Linked DNA regions of Caenorhabditis elegans. The protein of the gene in region 1 purifies or fractionates together with the protein of each later gene. This does not show direct contact. Each region holds a gene or a part of one and is shown on either strand. Other genes may lie near its edges. The genes, in order: gsp-1 and sds-22.

The links.
Region 2: the proteins of gsp-1 (region 1) and sds-22 purify together in Caenorhabditis elegans (affinity purification with western blotting, with the first as the bait; one study listed by BioGRID). This does not show direct contact.

What each region holds. Positions count from the first base shown.
Region 1 is NC_003283.11:10,679,855-10,688,434, reverse strand, and holds gsp-1 (Serine/threonine-protein phosphatase PP1-alpha), read right to left. Parts: upstream 6,014-8,580; 5' UTR 5,907-6,013; coding exon 5,852-5,906; intron 5,522-5,851; coding exon 5,390-5,521; intron 5,131-5,389; coding exon 4,900-5,130; intron 4,190-4,899; coding exon 3,726-4,189; intron 2,694-3,725; coding exon 2,586-2,693; 3' UTR 1,930-2,585; downstream 1-1,929. Other genes in the region: F29F11.20 (uncharacterized protein), read right to left, coding at 1-20, 441-534. UniProt on the Caenorhabditis elegans protein: Serine/threonine-protein phosphatase which antagonizes the function of air-2 in the regulation of chromosome cohesion. Dephosphorylates histone H3 at 'Ser-10'. Dephosphorylates translation initiation factor eIF2alpha.
Region 2 is NC_003280.10:7,856,120-7,861,771, reverse strand, and holds sds-22 (Protein phosphatase 1 regulatory subunit SDS22 homolog), read right to left. Parts: upstream 3,372-5,652; 5' UTR 3,353-3,371; coding exon 3,236-3,352; intron 3,185-3,235; coding exon 3,119-3,184; intron 3,071-3,118; coding exon 2,913-3,070; intron 2,871-2,912; coding exon 2,739-2,870; intron 2,694-2,738; coding exon 2,465-2,693; intron 2,419-2,464; coding exon 2,332-2,418; intron 2,286-2,331; coding exon 2,094-2,285; 3' UTR 2,019-2,093; downstream 1-2,018. Other genes in the region: Spindle apparatus protein lin-5, read right to left, coding at 1-260, 309-926, 973-1,112; T09A5.15 (Small integral membrane protein 26), read right to left, coding at 3,534-3,812; Chromo domain-containing protein cec-3, read left to right, coding at 4,303-4,312, 4,357-4,472, 4,517-4,782, 4,924-5,299, 5,350-5,422, 5,472-5,588, 5,632-5,652. UniProt on the Caenorhabditis elegans protein: Regulatory subunit of protein phosphatase 1.

The DNA.
Region 1 (8,580 bases):
CATGGACGAATTGAGCATACCTGTGCAAATACATGATATCATTTTGTTTTTAGATGCTTTAGAGACAAATTTTTCCTCGAGAGTTGAGAAGGAAAAACTATTGATTTTAGAAATTTAAATTTTGAAAACCGGGATTCATTGGTGAATTTTACAGATATTTGTCACTATTAACAAGTCTTTAAGTAATAAATACAAATTAATTAAGAATGCATAATAAATGTAAAAAATTCTACCATAAATTTTTATCACGGCGAGACCCATCCTATTGAATGTTTTAACTATGGAATCACTCATAATTTACGTCCAATCACAACTTAACTAAAGGAAAAAATAACATTTAAAAAACCATGTTTACTAGAGCTAAAGTAAAATTTAAAACCATCTTGGTTAAAATGAAGTTTACCTTTTATAGGCTGAATTATACATTTGAAAAAACCCACCAAAAAAGCAATAATCTTGTCGTCTGATGATTCCTCTCTGTTTTTCTCTATCTAAGCGAACTGCAATGGGCGGAGCTTTAAACAACTGGAACATTTTCAATTGCAAATAATGTGAAACACAGTCAATGAGACCGAGTGGCAACAATTGAAGGAAATAATGTATTTACTTGTGAAATACTCTCGTAAACTCTCAAAGTTGTCTGCGAAACGGGCAAAAAACTGTTCGAAGTTTTTGCGACAAACTGTGAAATGCTGCTCAAACACGTCTTAACCTGTGTGCTCCGTCTCGTATTACGGCACTGTAGAGCAAACTATGAGTTCAAACCACACACATATTAAGAACTTTGAGCATTTTGAAATTGGAATGCGAGGATTTTATTACACGGCAAGATTTTGCGATCTAAAAAATAAGGTCCCCGGTCTCGACACGACAAACGTTCGTTAAATGCGAAAAGGCGTGTGCCTTTAATAATTACTGTAATTTCAAGCTATTGCTTCGGAATTTTCATTAATCATTCATTGTTTGAAGAAAAATTTAATCAAGAAAACGAAAAACAAAGCATATGAATGTTAAAAAATCGTGTGAAACACTATGAACAATCTATGAAAATTCCGAAGCAACAAGAGTTTGATATTACAGTATTCATTAAAGGCGCACACGGGACCTCATTTAATTCGCAAAATCACAACAAAAGTGTTTTTTGTTAACTTTTCCTTAATAAAGAACAACACAATATTCCCAGATGTGAAAATTGTAATGACGCTGGGATACGGTACCCGGTCTCGTCACGAAAAAATGTTTTAATAAAAGCTGCGAGAAAAAAGACTGCGCCTTTAATGATTACAGTGGCGTCCATTCCGTTCTGCTGTAGAATGCAATTTTCTTCGATTTTTCACATCTTAAGATTCCTTCACATTTTTCTGTAAAATAGTTTTTTTCACATGCATACTTTAAATTTCTGAAAATAAGGAACTTTCAAAAGAAAATAAAGCGAAAAATTGAAAACATTGTGCAGCAGTCAGAAGTGTAAACTACTGTACTCTTGAAAGACGCACACTGCTTTTCACAGAAATCATTAAAAAATATTACAGTCGTGCCGGGTCCAGGTATCGTATTATTGAGTCGAATGGTTTATAAATAACATTATTTTGGCGACGAAATCCATTCTGAAAACTACCAAATAGAATTTTTAAAAAATAATTGCCCAGTTTAAAGGATTATGTGTTGCAGTTATTTCTGAAATATTAAATTTCCCTGATCTTGATTTAATGTTTCAGAAGTAATTGGTTTCCCTTGGCAGGATTCCTTCTCTTTATTCTTTTTCCATCCAACGAACATTTTATTTCTATTCTTGTACTCATTCCAAACAATGTGATTCATACTTTTTCCATTATTTTTTTGCCTGAAGACAGTATGTGTTTTATAAATACTTTGACCAAACACACACACACAAAATTTGAGTGACTGGTTCTTGCGCAAGAGAAACCTTTTGGAAAAAATATTCATTGGAATCAGTTGGAGGAAAGAAAGAAGGAAATGGGGGCGAGAAAAAGGAACGGGGGGAGCTGTCGAGAAAAATTCACTATTTTCGAATAAAAACCATAGAAAATTATCAGTGTGCGTGTTGTTGGGGCGGATCAGAATTCAATATTCTAAAAAATAAGAACGAATTCGCTCTCGTACTTTCAGAATGTTTGTGTGATTAACATTGTAAGAATAAATAAGCTGCAACTTTAAATCGGAAGGATTTTGATCCCGGTGTGTTAGGCTCACAACTAAGAATAAAACAGGATAAGAGCAAATGGAAAAAGAGAGGCAATCAGAAAAAAAATATATGAGAAAATTTAGCTAAAAATGGAGAACACAGAAGGAGAGAGAGAAAGATTTGCAATCTGTACTCGCCAGAAAAATTAAATTATATTCGATCGAGTACAGTTGCACAAAAATAGAAAATCAGAAAAGAAAATAATAATGAAGAGCATTTAAAACTCGTTTTTGTGCGGGGTGGGGTGTATTGAGGGCGAGAAAATAATAAAATGTTTGAGATAAAAGAGAAGGGAAATTCAAAAAAAACGGACAGAAAAGTAAAAATCCGAGAGAAATGAGTAAAAATGTAGGCAAAAATGTTCTTTCTCCTCATCACTTTACTTCTTACCAGCAGTCGTTCCAGGCCGTCCTCCGCCCACTGCTGGTCGTCCACTGTTCATTCCTTGATACTGATATTTCGCTTTTTTCTCCGATGGTTTCAGAATCTGTAAAATAAATAATGAATCAAATTTTTCTAATTTATTTGAAAAAAAACAATTTCAGTCTTATCCGATCAAAATTAATTCTATAAGCTTTTTGAGTATAAAATTATCTAATAATCACTGATGGTTCAGTTTGGTCATTATTTCCCGATAGGTTCAAGAGGATATTGGAAGAAAAAGAGTTTTGACGTAACATGGGATGCAACTACTTGAGTTAGATTGTTTTTTCGGGAAAAGAACAAATTGTCACTAACTGAACAATTATCAACATTATATATTTAAACATTTTAAATTTTTTCCGAAATGTAGGATTTTAATAAAGAAGTACCGTTTGATGGTACTTTTTCTCTCATATTTTGATATGGAAAAGAAAGAAGATGGAAGGTGAAATACTAATACAGCTCATTTTCGGTTCCTGAGATTTCTAAGATTTACGAAAAATTATTGATTTTTGATACAAATTTCACGAGATTTTGTGAAATATATTCAAAATTAAAGAATTTGATAGTTTTTTTCACGTGAAATACACAGCCACTAGCATTCTAATTTTCTCGATCATTTTAATACGAATTTGTAAATATGCCGGTGCCGTTTTTCTCTAAAAAGGTTCATCTCATGCTAGATTATTTCTTGATGTGATGCGAATGTTCAATGAGTTCCCAGCCAAAATTAAATTTGAAGAGCAGGAACTTTTACATAAATTCGATTTTCAATCTCACGAGGTTTCAATTTTTCGAAATCGGTTCCTCTTGACCAAGGATGCCCGACCCCTAATTTAAAAATCAATTGTAAACACATTTAGAAAATTGGTTTCTGATTTTCCATCTTGTTTGAATTTATTCCATTTCGGGGATCTGGAATATTTGGAAAAAGAATGAAATTGTTGGAACGTGTATTGACCCACGACGTGGCTAAGAAGATCGTATAACGTGAACTCTATGAACTAACTTATTTATTCCTTAGTTTAGTAATGTAATAAACTACTCGTCTTCTCTCCTTGTTCGGCCTTCGAATACATAACAGAAATATTCTTACCTGGAAACTGCACATTAATGTCTCATCAACGCTCATCATTCCACCAGCGTTATCGAATTCTCCACAATAATTTGGAGCAGAGAATAGTGTGACAAGTTGTCGCTTAGCAAAGAACTCATATCCATCTTCGACGACCTGATGAGCTCTGCATATCAGATCCAAATCATGTCTGTTCAAAAACTTTGCAACGACATCAGGTCCAAATGTGAACGAGACTCCTCTATCATTTTCTCCCCATCCGGTAACATCCTTGTCTGGATCAGACCAGAGCAAATCGCACAACAATCCAGTATCAGGAACATCGGTTGGTCGCATCACACGGCGAATTTGTTCCATATTTTGGAGATCTGGGGAGAGTCCTCCGTGACAGCAGAAGATCTTCTCATCAATGAGTGCAGCAATTGGAAGACAGTTGAAGCAATCGGTGAAAGTTTTCCACAATTTGATCGAAAAACGTCTCTTACCTGAAAATTATTTGGTTTAAAGACTTTTCAATAACAATTCCAGCAATTTTTACTTCTAAAAATTATTAAATTAAAATTTGAGGACCTGGTCGTTTTTTTTTGATATTTGATGAAAATTTGAGTATAAGAATCTGAAAAAAAGAGAAATAAGAAAATCTTCAAAATATACTGATTTTTTCAAAGAATTCAGTAGCTATTGTTCTCCAAATTTTTACATTGATTGAAAATTGTAATTATTCTGTTATTTTGAAAAAATAATTGACATAATTTTCCTTTTTTAACTATCGAAATTTGCTGATTGAACTGGACAAATTTTAATAACCCAGAATTTAATGGAATTTTTCGTTGAAATATAAATTAAAATATACACAACCGATGCATGGTTATTAAGAATCTTTTTGTCATCCGGAGAAAGTTTCTACTTGATGTGAACGGGCGTATGAAAATTTAAAAAAAAGCGAATATTTTGTTTTGGAATAATTTGTTATTACGTATCCATGTGCGGGTGAGAAAAATCGCCATATCTTAAGCGCAAAAAGCACCTGCGTCTCTTTTTCTCGCATGCTATCTAACGCCTATGCAAAACGCCTATGGCGAGAGAGCGTGTGGAGAAGAGAGACGCAGGCGTCTCCGCAGTTTTCATCAAATCATGGACACGTAATATCTCAATTAATATTTCGAATTTTCTTTAAAGCAAAAAAAAACCTTACATTCATCGTAGAATCCATAAATACGGTTAATTGAAGCACATTCGTGGTTTCCACGAAGAAGGAAAAAGTTTTCTGGATATTTGACTTTGTATGCGAGCAACAAGCAAATTGTTTCCAAGCTCTGCTTTCCACGATCGACATAATCTCCGAGGAACAAGTAATTGGCCTCTGGTGGGAATCCTCCGTATTCGAATAAACGGAGCAAGTCGTTATATTGTCCATGTATGTCTCCTAAAATTAAATATTTCTCATTCATATTGAACTTTTAGAGAAATTAACATTCTAAATTGTATGCTGCGAAACTTTTCAATGACATTCGGACTTTTTTTCCAATAATCACATACGTTCAGTGATGTTTTTACTAAATAATTGAACTATCTTTGAATTTTTAGACAGAATTTATAAATAATCGAAGACTATTGACCATATTCTCTAGTCGTCTCTTACATTGCAGACACAAAAACGGTTTTTGAATAATAAAAAAACTCACCACAAATCTTGAGAGGTGCTTCGAGTTCCAGAAGAATTGGCTGTGATAGGAAGATCTCACGAGATTTATGACAAAGAGCACGGATCTCCGCCTCCGACATGGTAACTGGCTTTCCTGGACGACATCCGCGAACTGAAAAATAATTTTATTGAAAAATCAAATTAGTCACTTAAAATAAGCTTTAAAGAGAATTAGTAAAATTTTAAATATTAATTAAATTTTTTACGACCGTAAAAATCGGAAAGTGGAAAAATGACAGAAATTATTGAAATAAATAGTTGCCAACCATAATAAATAATGATAATTGCTATATTAAACAAAATTCCTCAAAACCAGAATATTTGGAATTTCTAGTCGGAATTTCAAACAAATAAAATTCAATAAAATTTCTGAACAACTATACAGCTGGTTTAGTTCGAATGTCGATATTAGATCAATTTCTCTATTAACTTTAAAACCCACCTTCAAGAAGTCTGGTGATCAGATTGTCAATGTTTAAATCTCCATCGTTCGACATTGTTTTTGCAGCTGCAATCTCCGCGGCTTCTGTTGGTCACTTTTGATGGATGGCAAGTGATGTATGTTCTTGCAATGTTTTTGGCCGACAACTGATATTGGTTGTGGCTGAAAGATAAAAAATTAGTAACGTTGGCGTGAGAATTTAAAAAAAACTTCAAGGAAAACGTGAGAAAATTGATAAGACTAAGCTTAAAAAGCATCAAAAAACAACAGCAGTAGGATGTGATGCGTATCATTACAATTCCAAGAGGAAAAATGCAAAAATGAGAATTTTATCAAGAAATTGTAATGCGAATATAATATAGTTTTCAAATTTCCTGATTGGATTATATTTTTGAAGAATAAAAACCTTAAAGTGATTTGTTTCAATCGGAAACTCGATGACGTGATGGACACAATATTAAAATGTTTGAGAAAGAAAGAACACATGGTTTTTAACAATCGATATGCAAATTTTGAATTTGAAAAGGCAACAAACGCGTGTCGTGAAAACAAACAAAAAAACTGAATTATGTGAAATTTGTGCTATACTGTTTCTAAACATTGAAAATAGAAAACGAGCAACTGATGCCTTGAAGAAAAAAGTTTGTTGGTGTACTAAGAGAAATTCCTTCGTCCTGTGGTAGCAAAAGACAACAAAAAGAATTGGGGAGCAAACTGAGACCATATTCACTTAAACACCTGCGTCTCTCAAATTCGAAACGTGAATCACCGCTTTATGCACCTTGAGGCAAATCGAAGCTACTCTAATACTCTTTTTTTTTCTGGCCAATTTCAAGTTATACACCTATATAGTTTTATCGGAAAACGGTAACGAGACGACGCCCGTTCCTTCTCTTTGCCGTTATCAACGACCCCGAGGAGGAACATGTCATAAACACGACACCGTCGTCACAGCAGGCGGATAACTTTACAGCACTAGAAAAAGGAAATGGTGAAGATATGATAGAGAGAAAACAGAAGCTTTCAAAGAGAAACATGTGTGGCTGTAGTCAAGCAAAGTAGGTTCATCAATAGTGGAGGAAAATGAGGAGATCGGGATGAAATGCCGCGTATAAAAAGAGGAGCGAAAAGTGACGACGGACTGAGACGCATGTGTATGTGCCTGTCCCTATGTGTGAGTGTACGAGTGGAGCGAGAGACGAACGCGCGCCGATCCACCGGCCACTGCCCGCAGTATTGATCGATAACTCGCCACCGTCGTTTCCATTCTTTCGCCGAAACAATTCGCAATGTTATTGCACTACCTCCGGTGGCACGTGCGATATTGGTTCGACACTACTGACATCGTGTAAGACGTCATGGAATCAAAAACGGCGACAACTTCCGAGAAGGTTTTCTTATCACACTTTGCGCATAGTCTGTTATCTTTTGAAAAGGGTAACGCTTATTCTTGTGAGAAAAAACAACAATAAAAAACGGCTAGAGAAGCTTGAGGTGCTCTTTCTTTCTCTTCTCTAGAACAAATGGGCAAAACGAGATGTACAAGTATTTGATTTGCACGCAGAACGTTTCGAAAAGAGGAAACGACGACGAGAAAGAAAAGATTGAGAAAGGCAAACACTTCCTGTGCGGTAAAGATATACGACATTCCAGACTTTTTTCAAACAACACTTAATAAACAATTTTTTATTATTAAGCATAAAATTATGACAAATTGTATGTTTCTGCCAACAAAATGTTACAAAAAGAACTATTTACGAGCCATAAAATTTCGTAATTATTTTTCTTTTCATTGCGCGGTGTAAAACTTTTCGATGACTAATATAATGTTAACAATATAAACTAAATGATAACACATGTTATTCATATTTTAAACCAACTTCTTTTCTATTCAATCGAAATAAATAAATTCTGGAATAAATACCCCAAGAAGTCATTCAAATCACCTTAAGCCTCTATGACATTACGGAAAATAGTTATATCAAACGAAAATTATTTAAAAAAGAATAAAACTACTTGATTTCGTAACATAAACAGTTTCATAAACGAAAAAAGCGATGAAAAACATTCAAAAAATGCAATAGGACAAAAATTATTTTGAAAGTCCGCAAACACTGTTCACAAGTTGACGCACAATTGCACACAAAAAACCACCGTACTAGGCTCCTTTTTTGGAGATTTGTGAAAATTTCGGAATTACGCTTTCAAATAAACAGCTAAAAACAATTATTAGTCAAAAACTTTTCTCACGAAAATTTAGTATCATGTTCGAGCTTTGATTGAGGTGAAAGAAAACGTAAGCACATGTGAAAAAGATCGAGAGAAGGCAAAATAAGACCGAAAGGAAATGAAAAAAGAGGAGGAAAGCAGGGACGGACGGGGCAACGAGATGCTCACGTTGAGATGAGGGTCTCGAATTCAATTTATTGAATCGCGCAGAAGCAGAAGCAAAAAAAGTTGTTGACTAAACAAGTAACCGCAAGTTTTTGAGAGGGCGAAAAATAGGAAGAAAAACGAAGATGACAAGGCGCAGAGACCGGGAAGAAAAACCGTTTCTTTGGGCTCGAAGGAACGCCTTGTGCTGGAAAATAAAGACTGATTCAATCAAATGTTACTATATATGAGCATACAGATGCAATTAAGATTTTTCGTATAAAAAAGTTTAGGTACATGCTTCTAATGAAATATGTAATGAAAACAGAATGTGATTTAGTTATTCAACATACTGT
Region 2 (5,652 bases), on another chromosome or scaffold:
CTCTGGCCTGCTTCATGAGCTTCCCATTGTCTTCGGTCACCGTTTTCAGCTTAGCAGTAAGATTCTCTTTCTTTATGTCAGCTTCCTCCAGACTTCTTTGCTCGGATCTCAACGTCATTCGAGATTCATTGAGTTGTTGGAGAATGTTGTGGACTTCATCCTTTTTGGCTTCGAGATCACAGCTCAATTCTTCAGCACGAAATTGTGCCTCCTCGGCGATACCTTTCAGTTTAGCGATGTCGCTTTTCAGATCGGAATTCCTAAAATATTTTCTCCATATTTTAAATTCAATGTACCATTTTACTTACGAAAGCTTCAAAGTTCTGTTCTCAGCCGATAACTTGGTCTTGTCATCTTCAAGGTCTCCTAACATTTGCTCCAAACCAAAGATTCTCGCTTTAGACTGCTTCAGCTCCCGCTCGCTTCGCATGAACTTCATGGTAGGGGAATCGACAGCCTCCGCTATAGGGCTTCGCCGAGCAGTTGAGGAAGCTGTGCGTAGTCGCCGGGCAGTAGCTGTTGGTGTTTGCAATGATGTCAAGCTGTAGTTGTTCCTTTTCGGAGTCCTGAAGCCACTGGATGCTTCCTGATCTTCGTCATCTCTCCGAAGACATGCCCACCAGTCGTCAGCGGTACTTTCCGAATACACGTTGTCGAAAAACAAAAACATATCAAGAAGCACAGCTGTGTCGACGCGATTCTCTGATGACGCTTGCTCCAATGCGCGAGTGAGCATTCCCGAGTGATCCTTTCTCATATACTCGAGAAACAGAGCGTAGAATTTGCAAATCTCCAGTGAATCTCCGCTCGCTGCAAGCTTCGGTTCCAATGAATCGGTCATGAAGCTGAGACTCGTTGTGGCGATTTTGCGGAAGATAACTTCATAGAATTTGTCAGCTGTGCCAAACTCCCGAGTGTCGCATGACCTGAAAAATAAAATATGAAATTGTTTATGAATGAGCTATTACTTACATCATACTGGCGATCATACTCCCGTGCCTCTCCCAAAGCTCGGCTAATGAGCTGATTGTCTCCGTCTTCGGTGTGAAATTGGAGCCAAAATAGTTCGTCAATTGTAGCATTGACTTCACAACTGATGTGCTCACGCTCATTCTGCAGAAGGAGTAATTATTCAAAGAAAATGCGAGTGGTTGAGCGAAAGAACGAGAGAGAACGCATACATAAACGAAGAATATTTAAAAGACGCACGCAGAATGTCTGCGTCTCTTACACCATGCTCGTACACTTTTCTCACGACACTTCTAAAAACAGCGGGAATTCAAATGACAATTTTTCCATGGACCTGCAGGTCAACATGCACAAGTCTACCAAAAAAATATTAAAAGGACGAATAATAAATAAAAATGAAGCTGTTAAAAAGTGGGATGACACACTGATTGAAATGAACATTAGAGGAATCTAACATGAAAAATAAAACCAAAAATGCGCGCGCGCGCGAAAATGGTTTCATTCTTTATTTATAAAACCATGTGAAAGATTATGTGCATGCGCCTTTTAAAAAAACCGTATACACATTGCTGAGTTTGAAATTATTTAATGAAAACAAAGAAAGAACATTCCTTTTTTAGGGGACAAAGTTAAGTGCGCCTTCCAATAAAATCTTTATTTTCACAACAAAAAATCTTACAGTAGCTTTCATTTCATATATGTTTAATACTTTTCGAGGAAACTTCTTGATTGTTCTCAAAAGAAAAGCTCTGTAATTGACACACTTTAAGTTTTCAGGCATGGAAAGTTGGTTTTGGTTCATATTTATTTAGCGAGAAGAATAAATAATTTCTTCTTAAAATCTCACCGCACCGTCTAAAAACTACTGCATTATTCTCAAAGTATGAAACCTTTTTCAAACTCTTGATTAGTCGTTTTTTTTTTAAATTTTCATTAGCTGATAATATCTGGCCATTTCGATTGGCTTCGCCCATATGGAGGTCGATTATGATTCATTTGCGATTCCTCTTAATAACCTTACACTTTGTTCTCAATATCAAACAATGAAGCAAACTGATACATATTTATGAAAGATTATCATGGATAAGAAAAGCAAACGGATATTTATTGGAAGCGTCCGAGAGTTATTCAATTGGCTTTCTGCACGTAGTAGCATCAATTTGAGTTACTTGGGTGAGGGTCATCATAACTTTTCTGCGATATTGGTTTGTATCATTGAAATAGAACGGGTTTCTCTCCAAGTATACAGTTTGAAGACCCTTTAACTTTGAAAGTTGCTCAATTTCGGAGAAGCTTTCCACTTTGTTGTCGTTTGCCTGCAATAATAAAAGATATAGAAGAAACGTAAAATGTCTCGGTTACCCAGAAATCATTAAGACTTTCTAGTCTTTCAACGCCACTGAACGTTTTGATTTCGTTATTTGCAACATCCAAAAGAAGTAAATTAGTCTGCAAAAAAGACCCATTTCTCAGTGTATTTTGAATTGCTTTTTACCAGAGGTTCGACGCCATGAATATCTTGTAGACCCTGATCACTGAGGTAAAGTTCCTTCAGATTATTCAGTTGCTCAACATTTTCAATTTTCACAATACGATTTCCCGGCAAGCTGAGAACACTGAGCTTCTGCAAGGTCTCCACTCCCTCCAACTGACGAATTTTATTTTTGCCGATAAATAATTCATCCAAATTTACAAGGTGACCAATGTTCTCGATTTTCTTGATTCTGAACACAATTTGTGATTTTGATGTTGAAACATTCCATATTTACCGATTATCTCCCAGTTCGAGCAGTTTGAGCTGCGTCAAAGCTTCTAAATTTTCGATTTTTTCAATTTTATTGCTGACAAGGTAAAGAGTCTCGAGCTTTGTCAATTTATCCAAGCCGTTGATTTGGCGTATTCTGAAAGTTATTATTGAAATAAAAGTTTCTTAAATTCTTCACCTGTTATAGCTCAGATCAAGAGAAACCAAATTTACGAGTGATTCGAGATGCGAAATTTCGGTCAACTGATTTTCGTACAAATCCAGGGATGTCAAAGTAACTAACGAAGAAATTGTGGGGCTAATTGAAACCAGAAGATTATTGCGCATTCTCAGTTCCTGAATATAATCATTGTATTTACACACGTATTTCTGAAGTATTCTTACCTCTATTTTCGGAAATCCAGTAAGATCTGGAATGTGATCAGCGCGAGTGTGAGTTAGATCGATTTCCTGAAACATGTTTACTTTCACCAATAAACCCAAGCGGAAAAAAAAACAAACCGGAGAATCGATATCGAATGTGCTCAAATCGAATTGATTTTTCAAAACAGGCTCTTTGGATTCTTCGTCATTTTCACGAGGAAGAACAACAACTTCAGCGGATTTGTCGTTGGACATTACTAGTAGTAATATTACTCTGAATTTGTAAGTTTCGCACAAGATTATCAGTCAGTTATAGATATTGTCAGGCGTATTTAACGCAATATTTAAGAAAGAGATCACAAGCATATCAAGACCTATATAATGTTTTTTGAAAAACTATGAAAAATACACGTAGAAAGAAACAAATGAAAAAAAGTTATTTTCGTTCGAATGGATCGATCCAGACATTTTGAGGACCAGCTTGTTGTTCTCGAGATGATCGAAGTAAGGCCCGTTCCTCTTTTTGTGCGTTTTTATAATAATCATGATGATATTTTGGATAAAGCGTTACAGCAGCTACAGCACAACATGTAACAAGTGCAGTAGCTACAACTGCCATGGATCCGAGTGTTGGCCGATTAACTTTGGCCCATTTGGGAAGACGATTCTTGACTGACAACCAAAACGGAACAGGGGCTCCTTCAGGAACGCGCATGTGTAGCTAAAATTGATTACAATATGACTTTCAGTATGTTTAATAGAATAAATTGATGGATTAATTAAAAAATGTAGTCTATAGAAACAAAAATATGTTTTCTTATTTTGGCTTCATCATTGAAGAGATTGCTCATTCTAGGACTTTTTTACCGTAGAAACAAATCTGTGAGATTCGTTAGCTGACCAGTGATCATGCTTATGAAATAAAACAAGTTAAAAAGTATTTTATAGACAATAATTGAATATTTCGAAAAAAAAACTGCAAAACTTTCACATTTTCATTATTTATCAAGAACAAATTATTTCCATTCAAGTTCCGCAATCCGGGGAAACTGAGTCTCTTTTCTCAACTCCGCTAAAGAGGGCGCGCAGCAGAACTTCGGAGCGTCGTTGCTGCTGTCGCTGAGTTTTCTTTTGAAAATTCCGTCTTATTTTCTAATCTTCAATCGATTTTAACTGTCGACTAATAATCTCTAAAAGTTGTGAAGATGAGTAATGGTATGTTTTTATTTATTTATTAAAACCTAGAATAGATTTTACAGAAGGTTCACGTGAAGAGTCTCGAGAGCCCGAAGCAAGAGAGGGAAAGTCTGACGAGATTTTTGAAGTTGAGAAGATTCTTGCTCATAAAGTTACAGATAATCTGCTAGTGCTTCAAGTAAGTCACGAAATTATTTCTTAACTTAATTGTCCACATTTTAGGTTCGTTGGTTGGGTTATGGCGCCGACGAGGATACCTGGGAACCCGAAGAAGATCTGCAAGAGTGTGCCAGCGAAGTTGTTGCAGAGTACTACAAAAAATTGAAAGTCACTGACAAAACAGAGCTTATTGAACTTCTTCAAAAGCAAATAAAAAAGAACAAATCGCAAAAATCAAAAAAGCGATCGAAGACGGTTAGTGACCATGAGTCTAACCATGACAGCGACGGTAGCTACGGTACTCCGAAGACATCGAAGAAAAGTAAAAAGTGAGCTAAATTCTTTATTAAACGACAATAGTTTGAATAGTGGTGTTGTTTTTTTTTTCAAAAATGTAAATACATCCACACGTAATTGTCGGGAATGATGCTAATGGAGAGAATTCCATTTTTTTAAATCGATTTTTGCAGATCTGCTAAAAACGAAACTCCTGTATCATCAAAAGTTCCAAAAGTCCCAACGAAAGCTGCACTCAAGTCATACGAAGCAACGGTTTCTGGTCCAGTAGCTCCAAACAATGCGAAGAAAGCTGCAATGGAAGTTCGTGATACCCGAAGAAATTGGCTTGATGAAGAATCTTCCGATGACGAGGCAGAAACTACGGCGCCACTCAGTGATGTTGAGAAAATAGCGAGCAAAGTAAAAGTAGTGAAGGCAGTTGAGGAAAAAGCAGAAGAACCTGTCAAGCGACCATCTACACCACCAAAGCCAAGAGAGGTCGTTATAAAGAAAGACCCAAGCGAAAGTCCAGTTGCCAGCGCATCTTCAGTTATCCCAACGTCTAAGGTGGGTTCGAGTGCATAAAAATAATATGTATATATATGATGTATTTTCAGAGAAAGTCTATAAATGCGGAAACATCAAATGGCCGTCAAAGAACTCTTGCTCCCCCAGTCATTGTGAAAGATGGTAAATTATTTTTTAAAATCCTCGTAAATTGTTCTTTATTACATTTCAGAAACAACCTGGACTGTTGATGGTATTGCTCGTCACACTGATGTCGACAACACTAAAACGAAGCTGATACTGATGACCAACTCCGCCACTGGTGAACGAAAAGTCGTCGAAGGAAGAGGTAAAATAGGTTATTCTCAAAGTTTCGAATCTTTCATTTTCAGAGGCATTCGAACTTGATGGTT